Linked DNA regions of Arabidopsis thaliana. The protein of the gene in region 4 purifies or fractionates together with the protein of the main gene of each other region. This does not show direct contact. Each region holds a gene or a part of one and is shown on either strand. Other genes may lie near its edges.

Region 1 (4,825 bases), on a different chromosome or scaffold from region 4:
AGGAAGAAGGTGATGGCGATGAGGAGAGTGGAGAGGAGTAAAACGACGACGTGTTGTACTGATATCGCCATTGGAGACGAAGATCATTAGAGATCAGTGTTACGAGACGCGTTTCAGGTAAGAGGAAGAGGAAAGTGTGAGCTGAGCTGAGCTCCAAAAGTCGCAACTTTCACATTTCGATTTTGCAGAGAGAGCTTAAGTAATTTTTAATGCGCCGACAGATTAAAAAAGGATTTGTGTCCGAAAGAATTTTTCTTTTCTGATTAGTAGTATAAGACAAGATGTTTGATCTTGTAATAAATCATTTTAATTATGAATCAATTGCAAGTTAACCATTTATGTATCAGACAGAGGATTTTTAAGAATTTCATTTTTGGTAAATTTTCTCAATAGAAGATCGCAGTAGTAATTGATGAATATCTGCATCTTCGGAGACATCAGATCTGAATTAAATCTACACACCTATCATTGCCAGATCCAATCAACCTACTTTCCTGAGGTTTAAACTCAAAAGTATGATCATATTGAGCCAAAGTTTTCCTAAGATAATAATGAGTCATGTGGTGGAGCAACATATTCTTGAGCAGTAGTAACATATGCAAAGAATCAAATCTTTTATAAAACCATGAATGTATGATTGATATGTAACCACCCCCTATGGGTAAAATAAAATGCCTCAGAGTCATCAAAAAGCACATAAATCCTCTCGGAGGTTTTTCTACTGCCTTGTCAAAGCTTAAACCAAAATACTGGGACTGTTGAGATTGGGTAGATTTAATAGAAAGAAAAATCCGGCAATCTTACTCGATGATTCCGGCACCTGCATCGAGATCCACTTCGCCCATACCAGTGTCCTCTTCTTCGTCTCCGCTATCTTCATCGCCGCTCATTTCTTCATTGTCAAGACGTAGCTTAGCCATGTGTTCTGTCAGCATCTTTTCATCACGTTCACTCACCTATATTTGACATAGATTATAAACATTAATAGGCGGTTGTGAACCAAATTAAACAAAACACAAAAGAAAAGCTCGTTCTTGTGACATGCAACTCGAGACGGTTCATCACTTAAAAAAAACTAATTTAAGATACTCACAGCTCTAGCCCCCTCCTTAACGACAAGCTTGCCTTTGTGTGTCTCAATTGTCTCAGTGCATGCTGCTATGGCTTTGTTTAGAATTTCAATCCCTTGTTCCTGTTTAATATTTGAGAAATTGAGAAGATAAAATGGGACAAAACATAGCATTTACACATTTATGGTTTAAGTGAAGACAAATCCGCAGAGCTACATAATTGGCAAACAAAGTTGCAATGTCCAGTGTTTTCTTAAGCATTTACTTTCCTTGCAACTACAGTGTTTTCAAAATTCTGGCAAGTAGCTTTAGTGGATATACAATCTAAACAGAGATCATAAACCTCTTAAAGATAAGTAGGGGAGGATTTCTATAATATACCAATTACCAAACCAAGTAAATCATAGTGCAAGATAGAAGATTGCCTAACCTTGTCAAGTGTCTGAGTAGTAAGGACATACAGAGGTGGAGCAACCAATTTAATCTTAACAGGACAGTCTTCATTTCCAGCGGCTTCAGCATTTTTCATAGCCTCCTGAAATTACAAGCATGGGTGAGAAAATCAAATGAAATCATAATGTATTCATTTCACAAGTTAAAGATAATCTAATAAGAGATACGACCTTAATGTGAACAACTCCATCAAACTGAAAACACTTCAATTCGATATCAGCCCGGATTTTCATTGGTTGTGGTGTCATTCTCCTCCTAATGTTCTTCACAAGTGCATCTTTCACTTCTTCCGTAACAGCAGGTACAACCTTAGTCACCTACAAACAGAAAACTTGTAAGATTAGCACCAAATAAAGTTAGTACTAACCGCTAAAACAATGCCAGAGAACAAAGTATATACCTCTTGCCCATCAGGCCCAACTTCTTTGATCTCACGGGTGAGAGGACCCAACACTGAATCAGGATCCGTCACTAAGATCTTGAAAGCCTGAACAAAAGAAAATTATATATGAGAACTAAATAACCATAGAGATACACAATGAATCTCCAATTCACAAAATTCTTACCTCAAAAGCATGACCATGTCGTCGATACAAAGGCCAACCAATGTTCACATACAAGTCCTGCAACATGAAAGCTCAAATCAATTTCTATTCAACGATCACATCACTAAGCTATGATATTTGATAATATCTCTAACAAGCAAAATCCAAATCCAGTAGATAATCCCAGATTTGAACTACGATATTTTACCTCCAAATCAATTGAAAGAGTCTCAGCAACATGGCGCATGATAGAATGAACAAGTTTGCTCTTGTTATACCTCTCTTCACAAGTCTGAATATCTTCCTCGCTGACTCTACGTTTGCTCAGATCAATGTAACCTTTCTCTTTGTCAACACGGAGAACCATGACAGGCTCAATTCTTCCGACCTTAATCAAACTGCTAACACTTCGGATCCGACGACGAGAGAGCTCGGAGAAAAGGATCATGCCTTCGATGTTGTTGTACTCGAGGAGAGAAACATAAGCTCCCATATCGGCAATGTTCTTCACCTGGATCATCACCGCCATATCCACCTCTGGGTATTTCGCCTCGTACATCCGACACTCGAGATTCGGTGTTTGACTCGCCATGATTGGTAGATTTCGATACTGCTTGAGCTCACGCGAATTCACTCTTCGTTGAATCGGGTAAAGCTACGAGGCGGAGACACTTAGGGTTTTAGACTTTTTAGGCGACGGAGCAAATCAGACAGGTTTCTAGAGATAAGAAATGAGCAAGGAACACAAACGGAAAATGAGTCGACTTGCGTCAAAGATGCCAAGTTAAACGGCACCGTGTCAGTTAAACAATTAGGTTTTAATTGGGCCACAAGATAGTTTCAAGGGGTTAGGGGTTAAAAGCCTATTCGGGTTTCAGACATTTTCGGCCCAACTTCTTTCACAACGTAAGTTTGGATTGATTTCCTTTGCTTATTCATGAATTGCGTTTAAACCGGAGCAAACTAAACTAGAGCTCGAATCCACATTTGGCAGTCCAAAAACATTCTGACCGAACCGATGTAGAATCGATCACCAGGTGGGTTTGATGAACCTTATACCAGAATATAAAGTTATGTGATCATGTCTTTTGTCTCTTACAGAAAAAGAAGTCTACTACCTCACAAAATCGTAAAAGCTAAAGAACTAAACATAAAGTAGACACATATAGAAACACAGTAGACACAAGAGTCCCTCGAAGCTGCTTACCCTTCCAGAAGCATCTGATTGAAATGCCATGTTCCTGAAATTACCCACAAGCATTCAAAGACATATATTAAAACCAAGTTTGAGGCACGACGTAGGATGAATAAGTGGATTTTCTTGTTCTTTTATAAATTTATAGATTAGAACAAAATGTGAGAGATTATTTATGTACCGTGTCCTTTGCCAACTCGTCGCAGTTGAGCCACATATTCTGAGATCAACTTGATTGCTTCCACCTGAGAAATGTTTTATTTTATCAAAAATTCCTATTAGATTCTCTTTGATAGCTTATATACAACAGTAGCTCTTTGCCACTAACATAGAACACCAAATAAATTACCTGCTCTGTCAGAAACTCGCTCTCAATAAAATCTGCCAAGTGGACATCATTGTTCTTCGAAGCAACCTGTTGAAGCAAAGCATTACCAAACTGAGAACAGTTCTTGCCGAGTGAAGATTAGATTTACTTCTCAAATACGGATTTGACATATATAGTATGAACTCAAGAAGAGATGGTCTTTACACTGTGAAGGTTTAAGAGCTTCTCATTAACTAGTTTCTCCAGTGACAGAGCAAGCTCCATGCCTGCAACAACAAATCACAGAATTGTATGTTAAAATTCCTATATCCATTGAGACTTGAATCTCCATATGAGAGATACATTTTCATAATACTTAAGAACTCAGATAAAATTCAGTCTTTGCTAGTGAAAATATGCAATCTCTTCAAAAGCTTAACAAAATCATTGGTGTCAATATCTAATTTCTTAGAATGTGGCAGACATATGAAACTAAAGAAGTTTTTTCACTTGGGATTATTAGTGTTAGCATTTTTGAGCTTACCATAAAGAGCATCTCCTTTGTCAACATGTTCAAACTCTGAAAGAGGCATTACAATGGACTGTAACTTAACCCTCCCACCACGTTTGTTCTGCAATTCATGGAAAAAAACTAAAACATGTTAGAACCAAATTAGCTCCAATAAGGTAAACAAATGGAAATAACTTTCATAAGACCTGATACTCCATTAACTTCTCAGCATGCTCTCTTTCTTCCAAACTTGATTCCTTAAAGAACCTGATTCCATGAAACCAACAATTAACTATGGATAAACAAAAAAAATCCGAAAATATCAACACTCTTGAATAACCGGAGACTCACTTGGCAAGACCTTTGAGCGCGATGTTATCCCGATCAAAGTAAGCATACATAGCGTGATACACATACGAGACATTGTATTCCACACTGCAACCAAAATCCATTGAAGAATTTCAAATTCACAGGTTCATAAACAATAAGCAGAATCAACATGAGGTTCCAAGTTACCAAATCTTATAGCCAATCAACCAGATTATAATACCGAATCTAAGAGACTGGGGTGAGAAAGAATAACCTACTTGATCTGCTCGTTAATGGCGGCTTCGCACTCGTCTGAGTACTTTTGTCGAGCGAGTGAGAGATGAGAGCTGGTAGGGACGAGATCGAGCTCCTTTTTTACTTCCTTAAACGGCTCGAAGACAACGCCGCTTAGCGCGTCGGTGGTTGAGCTTTTAG
Region 2 (5,584 bases), on a different chromosome or scaffold from region 4:
TAGCTCAGCTTCGGTGCAATTTGGTCCCATATTCGCTATGAAAAGTGTTGGACAAGGATCTGCCGCCTTACTCTGTCAAAGGAACAAAGATTGTCATGTTCACTGGTAAGAATAGTTTACCTCACTGTTTTTCGTCCAGACAGAAAACAATACTCATATGAAGTATAAAATAGGCAGAAGCTTACAGGTTTTCTAGAAGTCGGTGCCCTCCCAGCAACATTAGCAATTCCTTGACTGAACGAGCAAAAAGAATTTAATGAGACCCTGAGTTTCGTGAGCTAATAGCTAAGAAAGAACAAGCACTCTCGTAACCAGTATCTAGACATGTGAGCTAGGACTAGTTCAGCTAATCCTTAAGTAGGTCAGATTTTCAAGGCAGAGGTACAAGAAAAGAGTGTGCAACAAAGAAACAGAATCTAAGCATTCACAAGGAACTAGAAATGTGCTCAAGTAGTGCAGATGACCTTTGTGCAGGTGAATAACCAATTGTGTTGTAAGCAGAACTACTCATTCCAGGAGTTTGAAAGCTGCCAAAACCTGCTAGTGCCCAAACGTGCAAGAATGTGCAGTGTGAGTTTTCAGAAACGTGAAACCATGTTGACGGCACTTAAAGCCCAAGTGTGAAATCTTAAACCAAAAAGAGCTAGCATGCATGAGCGTGATGGTCATGAAGATTGGAAGTTTGAAAATATATATACTACACAAACATTCAGTTACAAGAAACATAAAATACAGAAGGTTACAAGAAGCCTCAAGATGAAGGTGTGTGCCAATGATCTTACCAGATTCAGTAGTAGTGTTCCAAGACTTGAGTTTTTTCAAGCTTTCCCAACCATCATCTACCATATCACAAAAATCACAAAATAAAAATTAACACAACAATAGCAAAGGTCAAATTTTTATTGAGCTACCGAACCGAAAGAATCCTACTACTTGCCTGTTCTTGAACGCTTAGATTTGGGATTTGATTTGGCAAGGTCAATGTGAAGAGTAGAATGCTTTTCAAGATCAAACACCATTCCCTGAAAGGTTCAGAAATAAAATTCAGAAAGTTTCTTAATCTAGGCAAATGACAAAGCTTATTCACTTACGCATACAAATCCCAACCGAATGATTTCAATTTACTAGATTGAATTAAGAACAACCATAAAGATACCAAATTTACTTAATGCTTTGTAAGTAGATACATCGGCGACACATTGCAAGAGCAAGTTTGAAGAAATTTGTACTCACATTGAGAGCATGCATCACCGCTACAGCTGATTGCAGATCCGAGAACACAGCAAATGCGAAGGGCTACCAAACAAATAAAGTAAGATTCTCAGTCTCTTCGCCGGGAAACATCATTACCCAAATCACAAATCCGGAGAGATAGAAAATGATTACCTTAGCTCCATCTGAGCTCCGGAGATGCGAAGTCTCATATCCTGGGAACTCACGAAAGAGATTGTAGATCTCCCGAGGCTTGACATCTTCAGGAAGTCCGGCGACGAAAAGCGTCCTAACCTCATCGCGAGCTCCAATTGAGACATGGGTAGGCAAATAGACGGAATGAGCTGAAGTAATTGGAATCGGAGAAACTCCCGGCGGCGGAGGAGGAACCATCGCCGGTAAATTATAGTGAGAATAGTAAGCTTCCAAATCATCCATTGACAACGACTTAATCTCGTGGCCGGTGAAAGTCGCAGTTTACAACGGAGAAGAAACTAATCGCGTTACTTAATGGGCCGTTTAAAGCCCATTTAAATATCGGCCTTTTTGACCCATTGTTCATCACCAGGCGTAGGATAATAGCATGTGGTTGCACACACTGTAACATAACACTCTCTCTCTTTTTTTCTTCTTCTTGATGACAATTGTTCCTATGTTCAAAGATCTGCAACTTCATTCATAACAGTTCTTTTTCTCTCGTTCTCTGGTTTAAAGCATAATGACGGAAGAGCTCATCGACCAATCACCACCACCTGACCCAGACCCGATTCAAAATTCGAATTTAATAATCCACCCAAGACGTGTTCCTTTCGAGCACGGCCTTCTTCCGATCCAGAAGCTCGTTTTTACCGACCCGATTCAAACTCTAGCTCCGATCAAGCAAAAGTTAGCTTCTTTGGCGACGAATCATCGCGTCGGATCTGCTGCCATTTCCGATGCACTCTCGATCTCCGATGACCATGCGCGCCTCGTTCTCGAAACTCTCTCTTCGGTGCTCCATTGCGAGACTGACCCATTGGTTTTGGCCAAACCTGAGGAAGTTGATTCCGTGGGAGCTGATTTGAGGGATCTGATATTGTTTCTCTACATTCAATCGTATAAGAAGTTATTGCCTAGGACGCATAAAGACTCTGCTTCTGTGGCTGATGTTTGGCCTTCGACTTCTGCTTTTGATGGATACTTGTCGGCATTATCTCCAATTCAGGCAAGCTTTTTTATTCTCTTAATCATGTAATGTGGCTCAAAACGTTATCTTGTGATCTATTTGGTTTAAAAAATTTCATTTTGCATTGGATTTTACTATAATTTTGCAATGCAAGTTAAATAATATTACGTTATCATTCAGAAACATATGAAAAGGATTGTCTGATATTTGAAATATTTTACCGATAATTGTTCTCATTACTGTTTCTATCATATGGGTAGAGACATCCTTGTAGCTGTTGAGTTTAAGTTAAATTTCCTTTCATCATCTTGCAGCTTGTTCGTAGCAACAGCCGTCGGTTTATGCCATCACCGACAGATGAAGAAGCTCATCAATTATCGTATCTGCAAAAGCACATTGCAAATATTATTTCTCTCCTTGCAGAGCCTGTGGAGGGACAAGGAGATGATTCTTTGGTATGTGCTAAACTTTTTTTATGTTTGTATCAGATGGATAGAAAATTTTATGTTGTGATGCAATATTATGGGAAATGGAAAAGAACGAATATCTCATGCTAGATGGTCCGAATCTCCTCCTCAGGTCCTGTCTATGGAGAGTTTGGAGCACATTGGGTTTCTTGTTCATTATGGTGATAAGGGATTTGATGTACCTTCTTTAAGCCAAGCTACTCCTTTTTTTGCGAATTCTGATCCTGATATGCCCGCTGTCCCCGTTCCTGCTTCCCAAGTGAATGATTGGCTTCTCAAAGACATAGCTTCCGCCTTAGAAAGCATTTCTAACAGAATCTCTGGGAAAGAAAATGGGGCATCTAATGCCTCTGATCAGAATGCTGCAATGGCTGATTCTAGTGTAGCTCTTAATAAAGTTTCATCTAACGACAGAGGTCCATGTATTATTGAGGGAGTCTCTAAGACCTCACTTTTCAAGCAGGCTTCTGATCTTAAGGGTAGATCAGTGAAGGTCCGTATTGAACAACTAATTTGCATTTTAAACAGCAATCCCTCATTTAGTTTCGTTTACTCATGTATGCACGTCAATTGCATGTTTTGTGTATTCTGCAGGTTGCCAATTGCCATGATTCTGTTATTTATCTGTTAGCGCCATTGAGATATGCAACTGTGTATGGGTGTTCTGATTCTACTATCGTTCTGGGAGCTGCTGGCAAGGTACGGCAAATATACTCCTTTCTGTTTTAGTCTTTGTTAGCGAGGTTCAGGTTAGAATGCAGTGATAATATTTTATGTTCTTTGCAGGCAGTAAAAGTTGAGCATTGTGAGAGAGTTCATGTGATTGTAGCTACCAAACGAATTTGCATCGCCAATTGCCGTGAATGTGTGTTCTTTTTGGGAGTCAATCAGCGACCTCTTATAGTTGGTGATAACCACAAACTACAGGTGATATGTCTATTTAAGATTGAGCTGCATACATAACTCTTCTTTCCCGCCCTGATATTCAGCTGAAATTAATAAATAGACTACAGTTTTTCTTTTAACTCTAGGCTAAATCTTTCCTGTGTTAATATCCTGGTATAGTCATGATCGTATTAATGGTTCCTGGTGTTTGGAAAATTGAGCATGCTGTTAAAGTCACTTCTTCAACTGAGTTAAGTGGAAACATCTTCTGATGTGTTGTCTATAACTGTTGGCATCAATGTGACTGTTATCTGTTCCAGGTTGCTCCATATAATACATTTTACTCACACTTGGAGGAGCACATAACCGAGGTAGGAATTCAGCCAACTATCAACAAATGGAACGAATCCTTGGCGCTCGGAGCAATTGATCCGCATGACTCACTATCACATCCGACTGGTGCCTCTGATAAACAAGCTGAACCGGCTTCTTGTGTGGACCCTGACCAGTTCACTACCTTTTTGGTTAGATTCCCCTTTTTGTTAGTTTAATTTTCCTCTAGTAACTAGTGATATTGGTTATTAAGATTGTGTTCGTGGGTTAATTTCTCACATCAATGTCTCTGGTTCAGATCCCAAACTGGTTTGCGGGTGAGGCGATTGGTTCCACGAAAGACAATCCATTTCCATTGCCAGATGCATATAAGGCAGTGCAGCAGACAAACGTATGTTTTTTATTTGCTTTCCGCATAAAATTGCTCGTTTCTTTTTCATCCATACTTCAGCATCTGATCCCTTAACTGTGTTTTGGTTTTGAGCAGCTTAAGAACTTAGAGGAAACAAGACAATCCTTGAGAGAAACACCTCTCGAAGAAAACCGAAAACGAGAACTCACTACAGCGTTCCACATGTATTTCAAAGACTGGCTATACGGTAATCAAATAAAATCCCCATTCTAGTTCATTTACTCCTTTGGCCAGCCAATGATCTATATGTATCTCTTTCTTTTGGTGACAGCGACGGGAAATATTCGGCAACTTTACTGCCTACAAGGCGATTAAGACCAATGGCGATTGAAAATGTCAGAGTCACTGTAGAGTTCTCTTGATCCGTTCCTTCTCAGAGATTTGCTAGCACGTTTGACATCAGAATTTAACTGCACAGCACGCTCTCTAACTCCTAAAGCTCTGTTTTTTTGTGTGTAGGTTTCTCTCTGCTTTTATCGTATTTATTAGTCTTAAATATCCACGTTTTTGTCCTTGAAAAACATTAAGCCATCTTGTCTTGTTGTTGATTTCTTTCAATTGTTATAACAACTTTTCTCAATACCATATATATAAATCTTTTAGTAACTACTACTTGGGAATTTTAAATATTTTGAATTTTCTCTTAAGCATCACATTCAAAACAGGCAGAAAATGTGAAAACATGTCTGCCTCAATTGTTTTCTTTGTCTTGTCTTAGCTTGTTGGAGGAAAGAGCTTCTCTGCTTGGTCCGGGAAGAACTGTATGAACAAATAAGCACCTGCAAGTTCAACAAAGTCTTACTCATAACCAAAGGAAAGACCAAACAACATTCTCTATATTCTTCAGCTCTATGTAAATTAAACTTACAGACGAGTACTGTCCCTAAGACTGCTGAGATCTTGCCTTGAATTGTGATAAGCCCTGCTTTGCCTGCATTCTGCAACTCAGTGGAACCGACGGATTCAAATGTCCCTAAAGTCGCAACAACAGTAAATCCGATTCATTATCCTTCTCAAACCAAACTATCTCCAAAACCCCTCAAGAAATGATCTTAGATGAAACCAAATGGGATCAAACCTGGTTTTACAGATTGTAGCCCTGATGTTACA
Region 3 (7,613 bases), on a different chromosome or scaffold from region 4:
ACCAAATTTTAACTAATAACAAGTTTTGTATCATACTCTCACACAAAATGACACTGTACAAGGTAACGACTTTTTCATTCCAACACTCCAACTTCTTGATCCACTTTCCAGTAGTTGTTATCGTTGAACTCTTTCACTCCTCCTGAACTTTCCTCCGGCTTTGAGTCCTCAGCCATCTCCTTGTTCTTCTTCATCACTCCAGCTTCTCCTACTATCCCTTCTTTCATCGCTTGCTCCATCGCTTTCTCTGCCCCTTCTGGTTCCACTCCCACAAATTCCACGTCCTTCTCAAATAACGATCTTTCTGACCCGTTTGGAATCATGGATTCAGATTTGACCTCAGCCATTGGTATGTCGAGGTTCATTATGTGCTTGCTGTCATCATCATCATCATCATCGATAAATGGGTTCAGACCGGTGCCACTCGCTTGCATATCAGATGGTTCTCCCCACCCGACCCATTCGGGTGGCTGTTCAGCAAAAGCTTCTTCAGCTTTCTGTGAGGTGTTGAAGTCGAAGAAATCCAGTGGACTCTCCATTTGAAAGTTGGTTTCAGTTGTGTTCAACGCGTTGTCTTTTGGGTTTCCAGTTAGATCATCGTCTTCTTCTCCAACCACAACTTCATCATCGTCACTACTGCTAGTGTTGGCATTATAGGTTTTATTCAATTCCACGTCTATCGTGTTCGAACCCGCTGTGTCAGAGGGTGTGCTGCCGAATCTATCGTCTTGGAATGTGAACCAATTCGAATTTGTAAACAAGCTGCGGCAAAATACCAAAAAAGATTCAAGTCATTATTTTGAGAGACGTCATCATTCGTTTTTTGGTCAAGAGAGATGACATAATTCAATCACCAAGATACAGTAACTGTAGTTTAAAGCAAGGACATGAGGACACCAGTATTAACAGATAATAAAAAGATAAACTCACCTTCCTTGGTCATCCCCAAGTCTTAAGGATGAAATTACTACTTCAGCAGATTCATCGTCGAAGTAAACATCCTGTATAGTATATAAACACATTCCAATTTTCAATAGCAAACTCTTATTAGCGTACATCCCCCATACGTATCATAGTGTGATAAAAGATGTTGATAGTTTCCTTGATTTTTCAAAAAAGCGGAGAGAAGAATTTTTGCAAGACTTACATCATCGTCTCTATCAAGGGCATTGTGGTCCTGAGAGAAATACAAAGACGATAAATTCAGTACCCAGGAAATCATTCATAAATTGAAGAAAAAGCACTAGTGTGAGAAGATACCTCTTCATTGTCATCGTTTCCATATATTTTGTATCTAAATGCTTGGCTTAAGTTATTGGCCAGAGCTGCAACATCGTAATCCCTGTCTTCCTCATCGCTATCTCTTGTCCTATCTTGTAGGGTAGTTGGGCGCCTACACGTAACAATTAGTTTAGGAATTTTTATAACCAAAAAGAGTGAAGATAAAATCCAAAACCCGGGACCAGATCATGGTGCATTTACTGAGTGGTCTCGTCATGAGAAGAAATATTATTTGACTATGATACCATCAGTCATCAATGCAGAATTATCTTTGAGGGTTTTGTCCAAGAGGAACAAGGATCACACATGAATTTTTACATCCATAATCAGCATTATGTAGCAGACTGACCAATTAAATGGTTACTAGATGATTTGTGAGTAGAGGTTAACATACCCACATCCCCATCTGTTGACATTTTCAACCGTGTTGCGGTCCTGCAGAACACTACCTTGCCACTCATTCCATTCGCTGTTTTCCTAAAGATTTGGGAATGAACAAAGCACAATCAGCAAACATGGTAGATTCCAACAGAGTGCTAGGACCATTCATCACAAGACTCAACTAATGGTTTTACATTCTTTATGCGTGTGAAGTGACAAAAAAGCGGCAGAAGAAAAACAACACGACACGTATAATTTTTATACCAACCTGAAGGTATGCCTTTATCTGGCCATTGCTGTTACTCAACTGACCAATTTTATTTGATATTCTTGTGATATGCCCGACATACCCGACACGAGGTTTTTTTTTCCCGGAGGCAGCTACAGTGGGCTACCTCGCACAAAAGAAAAAGAAAATGCCAGAGAATATTTGTTTAGCTAATGAACGCTGGAGCAATGAGTCAATGGAGCTAACTTGGAGCTGTATTAAGATGACTCTTTCATATGCTGATGATCAGTTAAACCTTTGTGAACATAGCAAATGGTAATACCTGGCTATCACCTAAGAGGTTTGAGTCCCTGTCCGACAAGAGGAATTTGCCAATCAGATCGCAGTCTCGAAGAATATGGTTAACCATCAAATCGCTCTTGTTTTCCAAACAAGAAAGTATTATACTCTCCACTTGATGATGCAGAGCATTATTGTACGGGTACCTTCATATGTCGAGAGTATTTGATTTTTTAAGATCTCGTAGAAATAGCACACGGTAATCACAAAATTTTAAGTTTAGCAAAACCTACTCGAAAAACAGATCAAGGGTCCTTTTGATTGTTCCTGAACTGACTAATTCCTTTTGTGCAGCTTCACTTCTAGTTTTCAACAAAACTGCAATGAACTCCACAATCTGAAACAAAGAAAATAAGATAAGTGAGTCTAATTAAGTATAGAGACTTTACATACAATATATTAAGAGCACTGTTGGTGTCCTAAAAACGACAATGTCTTCCATAAAATGCTCCATGTTTGGACCTGACCTTTAGACGATGCTTTCCGAGAGGAGGCCTCAGTTCACCATATGTTGTAGGCAATACTGTGCTATCAGATGCTACAGTGAGAAGCATAAGCAAGTCATCTGCAGAAAAAAAAAAAAATATTACTTAAGGTCATTGAATGCATAAAACCTGATTTGAAAAACTTGTATGAGACAGTATCATACATATCCAAGATGTGCTACGTAAGCATTCCAGAATTATGTAAAACCAGTTTCCATTTATCAATATAAACCAAAATAGAAGAGACCAAATAGAGAGCAGGGAAGATCAAACAGAACGTCCAGATAGATGCTAAATACTCTAGGTATCCTCGCAAATGGAAAGTAATATCACATAAGAAAAGGATTGACTATTGTCCAAGTGCACAATAAGATTATGTGCATGCAACAAATAAAAAAGCCAGAAAATTAATAATCTTGATGGTCATGTGACGATGGTGCATCATAGGATCCAACTTACTGAGTTTGGGCAGCATGGCACCAATAGTTTCTGGGGAAACTGGGACAGGAGACTCGAACATATGTTGACCTCTGTAAGAATTGAACATAGAAGATGAAACAGCAGATCTCCTCGGATCCAGAAGAGAGGTGCATACTGAAAGTGAATGAACTAGACCGGATTTTGAATGCGAGTCTTCAAGAGCATGACCAAATATCTTTGCAACGTAGCTGCAAAAACAGGGAAAAAGTTGTGCTGCCATGTGAAACACTTTTGTATCATCTATCAAAGCATTAGGAATCATCATGGAAGAAAGATTACAAACCCAGGGCTAGAGAGCTGCGTAGCTAAAGCTGACGGTGCATTCCGAGAAATTGCACATAATGTTTCTGCTGCATTTGCCTGAACCTCCGGAGGACTCTGATTCAAGTTGTAATGCAAGAAACATATCAGAATGAAGATGATAGAAGAAATTAGTAATATCATCAGATATCCTAGATTTACACCACCTACAAGTATCAAAGAGAAAACCAAGAGCCTCTTGTCTCTGGGATGATTATAGAAAAGCTTAACCACTTACAGATGGTTTAAGTTTGTCCACGATCATTTCAAGTAAATTGCTATCAGCCAACCATTGCATCACATCCAGAAAGTTGGGATAGACTTGGTCATCAGCCCCAACCAAGCGAACCAAAACCTAGAAAAAGTCGCGTAAATATCATAGCAAAAAAGACCTCTGAAACCACACCAAGTTGCACTGAGTCTAAGTCAAACCAATTACCTCCATGATGGATGTTATCCCAATCAAATCAACTAACTGGCAGAAAACATTTTGATGCCCCTGTGATCATCAAAAGTTACTTTGAGAACTGAATACAAAACAAATAACAAAAAAATTCAACTAAATTGTCTGTCACATCAATATAATTGCCAGCAATTGAAGAATAGAGTCATGTCAATCTCATCTACTAACAATTTACTAAATAGACGGACATCTGGCTTGCGAGATTACAATGGAAGGTAATATCAATTCTGAATAGAAGAGTTAACAGAAAATAAGACGTATTCTACAGTACTCCTGGATAATCCTAGAAATCAGTTCAAATAGTTTCCATAATATATTTCTCATATAGTTTACCATCCGTTTAACTATGTGTTATTACTTACTTTTACATAATTCATAAGCGCTGCAGTTTTTCTGATCATAAGGCAAATGACAACCTACACCAAACAGAGAGAAGTAAGAATCACTTCTCGGAGCCTTGAAATGAAGTCATATGTATCGGTACAAACAAAACAAAAGAAAATTACAGGAACTTGGCTAATACGTAAACTTATGTATCGTAAGAGAGAATACCTTGCTGAAATAGCCTGCCAGCAATGCACTATGAGGACGATTTGGTTCCAGAAAGGAAAAAAGCAAGTTCATCAGCTGCAAGATAAAATTATTCGAACAAATGAGAATCTAGGATAACAATAAACATAATCCAGATGCACAGAAAAGTGAAAAGTATGAACTGCTATTTGAGGAAAAGGTAGTAGGATGAATGAAAAATACCTCTTCATCCTCGACCAAAGTTTTTAGAATAACATCAATTTCACATGTAAATATTTCACAAGAGATGAATGGAAACCTAAAAGAGAAGAAACTATTATTAGTTAGAGAGAAAAGAAATCCAGAACCATTCAAAAGAAAAGTGGATAAAAGGCAAAAGGAGAGGATGGTAAGACAAGGTAATTCCAGTTAGAATCAAGGAAGCATATTACTTGAAAGCACGTTTACTATCAGCATCCTGTGGAGGTTCTTCAACAATGTACCGCAATAATTGCTCCACTTGAGCTTTATCCCTTAGACTGCAGACATTAATACCCAATCAATAAAGTCATCCAAGAAAATACGAAGGAAATATGGGACTCCTTAACTAAAACTCCGCAGATAGAGGAGACATAGGATTCAACATACACCATAGGGTTTATCTGGTTCTATGAAACAGATAATGAGGAATATAAGCCAATTATAAATGATTAAAAAAAGCTTACAAGTTAATGAGCCTGCTATTCAAAGCCTTGCATTCTTGAATAATCTCTTCCTCATCAAGAAGCTCTTCCAACGTGAAATTTTCTTTGTCTAATATTATCTCCACCTGCGCTCATAACAAAAGGAAAGAACATCAATACATGAACAATTCACGACTCAGAGACAATAATTCAAAAAATTGAAATCTAGCAAATCCAAAAATTCGACATAAATTATATGAAAAAGCAAAGCAACGGATAGAAACTCCAATAATCTAATTCTAAAGCATATCAGTATCTGTAGACAAGATGAACGCTAACATACAACACGACATCTAAAAATTCAACTCACAGGAGATGATGCAGAGAGAGATGTGAGCTTCCAAAACATGGTGGCGAGGGAGGAGTGGAGCTAGAGAAAGTTTCGCCGTAGCTGAAGAGAATAAGGAGAACTTGGCGAGATCCGCCAGAAACCTAGAAGAAAAATCTAGGTAATCGCTTCTTCGCGGTGGAGGAGTATCGATTTCAGCTCGAAAACCCTAATCGATCAGTGAAGAAAGAGATTGAGAGATCCTAAAGATGATGGAAGCGGAGATGGGAGATCGGAGGTCGAAAATTTTGAAAATTAAGAGGCCGAATTTTGCATAAAGAAGGGGAAAAGTAAAAAATGGTCTTATTATTATTTGTTATTTTATTCCTTTGATTGATTAAGAAAAAGTTGAGCGAATTATTATTAACTAAATCGCCATTTTCACAGATTTGTGTGTCTAATAAAAGTAGACTTATGATTTTTTCGTAGTCGTTGTCTGATGATCATGATTCATGACGATGGTGGTGGTGGTGGTGATAGTAACATACATCATCTTTATGGATACAATTGAATGATCGTGAGATATTGTAACAGAGAGGGGGATACTTGCGTCACCAGCAGCAGGTGACTTGTGAATTTGTTGTGATAAAGATCACATTAATTTAAATAAAATCAGCTGTTCAATTTGCGGAATAAATAGTTGGCGAAAATTGTGCTTATAAATTTTACAACGGGATGATGAAGTACAATAAGCAAATCAATTTTGTGGATAAAGAAATGCATATGATTGTCTTAAGTTTGATTTAATGGTGTAGAATAAAAACATATAAAGACAAAAGTTGGTTGAAGTGTCAAACAGAGTGAACTCCGTAAACAGCCTCTTTTTCTTCACACCTTAAGAAACCATAGACGAAAAAAAGTTTACATATTTTTAGAAAATTTTCGATCTTTAAAAAATTTATGAGGAGATTTGTTAACCTTACATAATACTTGACAAGAGAATGATGAAATTTTTTTAGACAAAAAAAAACACGTTGAAAAGTCTCATATATGATGTCACTGATTTTTAGATCAAAATGTTGACACCCCAATTTGATCGGGAAGCAAGAAAACCCGGAGAACAGATATAAAATTAAATTGTTCTATTCTACACAAAACCTTGGGCATTTGTTAAATTTTAACTATTTACGGTTTATTTTAACCATCTCCACTGAGAATTTATCGTTACGTTTATGGAAATGACTACACACATCTTCGTTTTTCTAATCATTTATAGGTGTGTACTTGTTTTTCCTTCAAATTTTCATTGTTTCACTTGAAAAGTGCACTCTGAAAAATAGAAAGTACACTGAAAATTCATTGTTGTTTTCACTTAAAAAGTGCATACTGGACAACAAAAAACCTCAACAAACAAACGATCAAACAAGAGAGTGAGAGACCTAAAGATATTTTTTTCCACTAGCGCTTCAACAAAGAAAAAAGAAGAGAAGCTTTCATTTAAACGTGGTACGTTGAAGTATACATGATGATGTAATAAAGTACTACAATGACTCAACAACGCCAGCTCTTGGAATGGATATTAGTGGGAGAAGAAGATCCAACAACTTTATCAACCAGCTTCCTCAATCCCTTCTTCTTCTTCGGGGTCTTCTTTTCCTTATCCGTCTTATCTTCTCTCTTCCTCTCTTCTTCAACTTCTTCCTCAAACTGTGAACACAGCTTAAGCACTTGCTCCTCTACATTATTAAGTCTCTCTAGCAAAGTTCCTTTCCGCTCAGTCTCCTCCCTGACTTGTTCCATCGAACGGCAGTGTACCTTCCCTATGCTCCTCGGTGACGACAGATCCATTGACGATGGCTGAGTCCCACTAGATGGAGTCGATGGGCTCGAGCTTCTAGGCGAGCTTCCTTTCATCTCCTCTAACTTCCTCACCATGAAATCAATACGATCCAATCTTGAAAGTATCGGTTCTTCTACAACAGCCATTATTGATAACAAACGACAACGTTTCCAGAAGCTTTGGTTGTGTCGGAATAGTTGAAAGACAGTATCGAAAGCAAAACTCGTCTTCTCTTATTAATAGAGTAATAATTGGAGATTGAAAGAACACGAGCTAGGCCACGTTTAAATATTG
Region 4 (5,767 bases):
TTCTGTTACTTCTCTGTCCGCTCTTCGTAGTGTTTATCAGTCTGCAGAGTTGGCTAAAGCATCGAAACCGGTTGCATTCACAATCGGTGCCTCACTTGTGGTTCCTGATATTTCCTACAGATGGCATTTACCTGAGCCTAGTGCAGTCGATATGTCTGGTTCTTCGAGTTGTGTGTCTGAAAAGAATAGAACTGTTGTGGTTTTGCTTGGATGGCTTGGATCAAAGCAGAAGCATCTGAAGAAATATGCTGATTGGTACACTTCAAAGGGTTACCATGTCATTACATTTACTCTTCCGATGAATGAGATTATGAGTTATCAAGTTGGAGGGAAAGCAGAGAAGAACATCGAGTCGCTGGTTAATCACTTGGCTGATTGGTTGGATGAAGAGCAAAAGAAAAATCTCGTCTTTCACACCTTCAGCAACACCGGGTGGTTAACGTGAGTTTAATATCTCTGTTTTTTTCATGTGCTTACATAGTTACATGGCGGTTTTACATTTTACTAAGCGAGTTTCTCATCTATGCAGATATGGAGCCATTTTGGAAAAGTTTCAGAAGCAAGATTCATCATTGATGGGAAGAGTTAAAGGTTGCATAGTGGACTCAGCTCCTGTTGCTGCTGCAGATCCTACGGTAAGCGATGATTCTTGCATTCATAGCCATGTTTATATGGTCATTTGGCTTGTGCTAAATCATAGGCTTGGATACCTGATTTGCTAGACGCTGATGGGTGCTATTCTTTTTATAGATTTCTGCACTATTCGCTTGAACTTTCTGGATACTAATTTGGCTTTGTTAAAACAGGTATGGGCATCAGGTTTCTCAGCTGCGTTCTTGAAGAAAAGCAGTGTAGCCACTAAAGGATCTGCGAGCTCATCATATGAGTCAAACGGTATAAACATCTCCCAGCCTAAACCCGCTGCAACAGAAACAGCTTTGCTTTTGGTTCTTGAAAAGTTCTTTGCGGTGATTCTAAATCTTCCCAAAGTAAACAGGTAACATACAATAAAACTCCGCGTTTCGTCACTCATTCTTTTACCCAAATCCTATGATTTCACACTAACAAATGCGGGCAATCATATCTCTTCACTCATTCTTGTCACCCATATCCTATGATTTCACACTAACAAATGCGTGCAATCATATTTTTAACAGGAGACTTGCCGATGTTCTTGACACATTATCAACAGCACAACCAAGTTGTCCACAGTTATACATTTACAGCTCTGCAGACAGAGTTATACCGGTGGAACAAGTTGAATCATTCATTGTAGAGCAGAGGAAAGCAGGACATGAGGTCCGTGCTTGCAACTTCATATCTTCACCTCATGTAGACCATTTCCGGAGTAACCCAGAACTGTATACAGCTGAGCTCAACCATTTCATGAACAACTTTGTCCTTTCTTGCTGCCACCATTCTTCATAGCGACTTCCACAAGTGTTGTTGTTGCTAACCATTTTTGGGGTCCTTTTAACTCTTATACAAGAAAGAGAAAAATAGTTACTGATTGATGATTCTTTTTGGTTTGGATTGGTTTATAGATTCAAATTCATTATTCCTTTGTAAATTGTTGGATATTGTACATTTAGGAGAATGAAGATTCAAGAAAGTGACGTCCTTGTCCTTTGTAGTGGAGATTTGGATCTTATGGTTGTCTTTTGTTATTTGTTCAAAGAGGGTTGTTAAGAACCCAATCATAAAGTTTTTGGCAATTCTCATAATTTTTAGAAGTATGAGGGATCACAATCGTATTTCTTATGAGACGCTGGTTCGTCAACGATTGCGTTTTGACAAACGCAAAAGTTTGATTTGCGTTGGAAGCGGCAGAGATCGATCTGGGATCTTTTTTTCTTTTTGCCGTATGTGTCATTTTGTGAAACTCGAACCTCTCATTCTCTCTTTCATCTCCTCCTCTTACGTAACCCTAACGAAGTCGAAGATTCTCTGGTAGATCTATCTCGATTCGATTCGATTCCTCTTTTTTCCCAGAAAAGTCGCTATTGAAATCGAACGAAAGTGTTGAAGATTTTACCAGTCAGAGGTATATATATATAGAGAGAGAGTTATGGATTTGGATCAATGGATTTCCAAGGTTAAAGATGGTCAGCATCTCTCCGAAGACGAGCTTCAGCTTCTCTGCGAATACGTACGCCTTCTTCTTCTTCTTCTTCTTACTTGATTTCTTCTCTTGGTCGATTAAGCTTCTTGTGCTCTTCTCTGCTTGGTTTGATCTGTATTTATATACCTTAGTGGAACGTGACTTCGATCTGGTCTGTAGTGATTTTAGGATTTTTCTTTCTTTTCAACTATGGAGGCATCAATTTTGTAGTTTAGATACCATTTTATGGTCTCCTTTCTCAGCGATTGATTTATAGATTTGCGAAGATGAATCATGGTGTTAACCAGAAGATGTTTATCATAATGTTATACAGGTGAAAGAGATTCTGATTGAGGAGTCAAACGTACAGCCTGTAAACAGTCCAGTCACCGTATGTGGTGATATCCATGGCCAGTTTCATGATCTTATGAAGCTTTTTCAGACCGGAGGTCATGTTCCCGACACCAATTACATTTTTATGGTACCGAGTTTTCTTTTGTGGTGTCTTGTATGACATATTGATATGAAATTATGAATACAATCATAATCTGGTGTGGGAAATTCGCAGGGGGACTTCGTGGATAGAGGTTACAACAGCCTTGAAGTCTTCACTATTCTTTTACTTCTTAAAGCTAGGTAAGGTGCTCATAAATGTTCTGGAGATTCCTGTTATCATTGAATCTTTGCCTTTAAGTTTTTTTTTGTTCGTGCTTAATACGAACTTATTGTTTATTAAGCAATTAATCTTGATAATTATTTATCTTTCTTTGGAAGAAATAGTCCCAGTAACGTATTGCATTCAAAATTAGTCCAAACGAGAATGATATTGTTTCTTTAGCATCTCATGTTTCTCTGTTCTTTGTATTCTAATATGTAGATATCCAGCCAATATTACACTTTTGCGCGGAAATCATGAAAGTAGGCAGCTAACGCAGGTATGTGTTATTCTGTTCCACTTATATCTATTATTCTGCTTTTCACGCTGTTCCTAGGAGGTAAGCAATGTTGATTATCTTCTCGTTGTTACAGCAGGGTTTTGAAAGTTCTGATTTTGTACTACATGTGGCAATGTCATGTCAGATGTAGACATCGATGTTAGCTAAGATGCATTTTATGTGAATCAAGTATTGGAAAGCTAATTTCAGAAGGTGCTTCATATAGTACCAGTCTCCTTTTTAGCATGTGTGTAATCCTTAGTGTTCTAGTTGATACATAGGTTTTTAAGGAAGAAAGTGTGGTGATAATTTTGTATTTGAATGCATTCCTGGCAAACCTTTACTAAGACTTAGTCTGCAATCATACCTCTTAAAGTGCAATTCAAATATGCATTTCGTGAATCTGCTGACTAGATGATCAAAATTATACATGGATTCTCGACATTGAACTCCTTTATAACACAGAACCATTTGATTTACTTTTTTAGGTGTATGGTTTCTATGACGAATGCCAGAGGAAGTATGGTAACGCTAATGCGTGGCGATATTGCACAGATGTTTTTGACTATCTTACCCTGTCAGCTATTATAGATGGCACAGTAAGTGATTTCTTAGCAACTTGGCATTGTTGATGAGAACACATATAGCTGTATGTTATACTAAAATAGTTTGCTTTGTCTAGGTTCTATGTGTTCACGGTGGCCTTTCCCCGGATGTCCGGACAATTGATCAGGTTAAACTCTGCTTTTATTGCTTGTGGCTTTCACCCGTCAATTATGCTTCTAGCTTGGCATGTTATTAAGGTCCTCCACTCACATAGATTTGCTGTGGGCTCTAGATAAGACTGATCGAGCGAAATTGCGAAATTCCTCATGAAGGGCCCTTTTGCGATCTTATGTGGAGTGATCCTGAAGATATTGAAACATGGGCGGTTAGTCCACGTGGAGCTGGTTGGCTTTTCGGATCCAGGGTTACCACTGAGGTATGTTTACTTTCTCAAAAGCTTGAATTGATACTGTAACTAAGAAATTAATTTCACATCTCTGATCTTTGGTTCTGGCTTCTTGTGCAGTTTAACCATATCAACAAGCTGGATCTAGTATGCCGCGCGCACCAACTTGTACAAGAAGGTCTTAAGTACATGTTCCAAGATAAAGGCCTTGTAACTGTGAGTGTCCTGCTTCTAATGAATTGATATTTTTTATTAGTGGGCGTTTTGAAACTCTGCTTAGTGATTGTTAATTTTGTTTTGTTTGTGAAGGTATGGTCTGCACCTAATTACTGTTACCGCTGTGGGAATGTCGCTTCTATATTGAGTTTCAATGACAACATGGTGAGCCTCTCTTAGTCTTTCCTAAATGAATACTCTAATCTTCTCTGTCAGCAAGAAGGGATTCTATTACTTCAGTGATTTTAATCATTTCTTTTAAGATTCTACTCTATCAAAATATGTACACTCTTGTTGATTTGCTATGTGCCTCTTTGAATTAATGGATCTAGGAAGATTATAGAAAGTAATTTAGAGAATTTAAATCAAGTAAGCCATGTGCAATGAGGTTTGAATATCTGTGTGAGCCATAGATTCTGTTTCTGCATTTGTAGTGGATTTTCATTGACCATAGATTCAAGCTGTCTGTGCTACTAGGATCCTCCTTCCTGCATGGGTTAGTGATGAAATCGATTGAAATGTTTGTATTACCAGGAAAGGGAAGTGAAGTTCTTCACAGAGACAGAAGAGAACAATCAAATGAGAGGGCCAAGGACTGGAGTTCCGTATTTCCTATGAAGAATCACACTTATTATATTTGCTGTGATGATGAAGCCATTGCTGCCATTGGCAATATGTTCAGTTCAATGTGGAAAAGGTTAATATATGATTATATATATTATCTACTGATGGGTTTCGCTTACTATCATTATTTTTGTCCTTTAGGTTACATTTCCCTTGTGAAAGTTACAAGTCAAACACTTTGGTAATAGTCTTAGTCATTTTGATTCTCTGCTCTCTTTTCTTTCCCCCAATCTTTCTTCTGTAATGTTATTTTTTTCATTGTTCACTTGTACTGTTTCCTCTGTTTTTGTTGTTGTTGTTGTGAAGATGACATTAATTCTAAAATAATCAAACATCGTTACAAATGGGACAGTATCGCAACAATAAATGAATACCTGTCGGTCTCGAGCTATTCAATCATTTCATTCGGCTTTTGGTGTGTTGCCTTTCAGATCTATGATACAGATTGTTGTCTCAAGTAATGGAGAGAGGGGTAGTCCTTACAATAAAAAAAAAAAGTTATTATATGCAGTCATGAATGTGGTAAAAAGAATTGCAATTTTTAGTTTGTAATTTTCAGTTAATTAATCTTCACTATATAACTACACTCCTATGAGTTGCTCAGTGAGTTGCATGCTTGTATGATTTAAAATTAATAGTAACTCTTTTTATTACAAAACAGTGAAACACTATGAGAAGTGGGGGAGTTCAGTTCTTGTTCTGTTTGCCGATGAACATCAATGTTGCTTGGTCATCTAATAGAGGGAAATCATAAAATATTAACCTGGTGGTCCTGGTCAATGGTTTTTTTAAAAGAGTCATTGTTTAAGTCTTTTTTTTTTTTTTTTAATGCTAATAAAAAGGTTTAATCCTCCATGCTGGAGAAGCGATCATCATCAACCGAAAGAGAGTAATAGAGACAAAATGGGTTCATCATCATCTCCATCCCCGAACGACGCC

The links.
Region 1: the proteins of FYPP3 (region 4) and AT2G40290 fractionate together in Arabidopsis thaliana (co-fractionation; one large-scale study listed by BioGRID). This does not show direct contact.
Region 2: the proteins of FYPP3 (region 4) and AT2G42230 fractionate together in Arabidopsis thaliana (co-fractionation; one large-scale study listed by BioGRID). This does not show direct contact.
Region 3: the proteins of FYPP3 (region 4) and AT1G07990 fractionate together in Arabidopsis thaliana (co-fractionation; one large-scale study listed by BioGRID). This does not show direct contact.

The regions. Positions count from the first base shown.
Region 1 is NC_003071.7:16,828,230-16,833,054, forward strand, and holds AT2G40290 (Eukaryotic translation initiation factor 2 subunit 1), read right to left. Parts: upstream 2,998-4,825; 5' UTR 2,661-2,997; coding exon 2,277-2,660; intron 2,147-2,276; coding exon 2,090-2,146; intron 2,011-2,089; coding exon 1,924-2,010; intron 1,841-1,923; coding exon 1,694-1,840; coding exon of another isoform or gene 1,643-1,693; exon of another isoform or gene 1,606-1,642; coding exon 1,501-1,605; intron 1,193-1,500; coding exon 1,094-1,192; exon of another isoform or gene 1,090-1,093; intron 957-1,089; coding exon 801-956; 3' UTR 537-800; downstream 1-536. Other genes in the region: AT2G40280 (S-adenosyl-L-methionine-dependent methyltransferases superfamily protein), read right to left, coding at 1-71; FER4 (ferritin 4), read right to left, coding at 3,272-3,309, 3,445-3,508, 3,613-3,678, 3,796-3,857, 4,115-4,202, 4,288-4,348, 4,433-4,516, 4,669-4,825. UniProt on the Arabidopsis thaliana protein: Functions in the early steps of protein synthesis by forming a ternary complex with GTP and initiator tRNA. This complex binds to a 40S ribosomal subunit, followed by mRNA binding to form a 43S pre-initiation complex.
Region 2 is NC_003071.7:17,592,910-17,598,493, reverse strand, and holds AT2G42230 (C-CAP/cofactor C-like domain-containing protein), read left to right. Parts: upstream 1-1,828; 5' UTR 1,829-1,930; coding exon 1,931-2,416; exon of another isoform or gene 2,417-2,596; intron 2,597-2,691; coding exon 2,692-2,832; intron 2,833-2,956; coding exon 2,957-3,337; intron 3,338-3,438; coding exon 3,439-3,543; intron 3,544-3,630; coding exon 3,631-3,771; intron 3,772-3,909; coding exon of another isoform or gene 3,910-3,915; intron 3,916-4,049; coding exon 4,050-4,253; intron 4,254-4,360; coding exon 4,361-4,453; intron 4,454-4,549; coding exon 4,550-4,661; intron 4,662-4,745; coding exon 4,746-4,789; 3' UTR 4,790-5,083; downstream 5,084-5,584. Other genes in the region: AT2G42240 (RNA-binding (RRM/RBD/RNP motifs) family protein), read right to left, coding at 1-72, 186-234, 465-537, 783-839, 938-1,022, 1,234-1,296, 1,387-1,650; AT2G42220 (Rhodanese/Cell cycle control phosphatase superfamily protein), read right to left, coding at 5,189-5,253, 5,343-5,447, 5,553-5,584.
Region 3 is NC_003070.9:2,475,360-2,482,972, reverse strand, and holds the start of AT1G07990 (SIT4 phosphatase-associated family protein), read right to left. Parts: upstream 6,021-7,613; 5' UTR 5,561-6,020; coding exon 5,522-5,560; intron 5,298-5,521; coding exon 5,194-5,297; intron 5,008-5,193; coding exon 4,921-5,007; intron 4,788-4,920; coding exon 4,712-4,787; intron 4,586-4,711; coding exon 4,511-4,585; intron 4,375-4,510; coding exon 4,321-4,374; intron 3,995-4,320; coding exon 3,935-3,994; intron 3,851-3,934; coding exon 3,734-3,850; intron 3,574-3,733; coding exon 3,479-3,573; intron 3,384-3,478; coding exon 3,175-3,383; intron 2,796-3,174; coding exon 2,698-2,795; intron 2,568-2,697; coding exon 2,464-2,567; intron 2,377-2,463; coding exon 2,214-2,376; intron 2,054-2,213; coding exon 1,931-2,053; intron 1,759-1,930; coding exon 1,676-1,758; intron 1,394-1,675; coding exon 1,261-1,393; intron 1,178-1,260; coding exon 1,148-1,177; coding exon of another isoform or gene 1,031-1,147; exon of another isoform or gene 1,002-1,030; coding exon 931-1,001; intron 763-930; coding exon 75-762; and 1 more. Other genes in the region: AT1G07985 (uncharacterized protein), read right to left, coding at 7,031-7,465.
Region 4 is NC_003074.8:6,959,940-6,965,706, forward strand, and holds FYPP3 (flower-specific, phytochrome-associated protein phosphatase 3), read left to right. Parts: upstream 1-1,796; 5' UTR 1,797-2,068; coding exon 2,069-2,149; intron 2,150-2,435; coding exon 2,436-2,582; intron 2,583-2,669; coding exon 2,670-2,737; intron 2,738-2,978; coding exon 2,979-3,036; intron 3,037-3,524; coding exon 3,525-3,635; intron 3,636-3,718; coding exon 3,719-3,769; intron 3,770-3,874; coding exon 3,875-4,018; intron 4,019-4,108; coding exon 4,109-4,204; intron 4,205-4,297; coding exon 4,298-4,369; intron 4,370-4,738; coding exon 4,739-4,822; 3' UTR 4,823-5,267; downstream 5,268-5,767. Other genes in the region: AT3G19970 (alpha/beta-Hydrolases superfamily protein), read left to right, coding at 1-441, 530-635, 807-997, 1,158-1,428; AT3G19990 (E3 ubiquitin-protein ligase), read left to right, coding at 5,657-5,767. UniProt on the Arabidopsis thaliana protein: Catalytic subunit of protein phosphatase 6 (PP6). Dephosphorylates phosphorylated phytochromes, with a preference toward Pfr forms.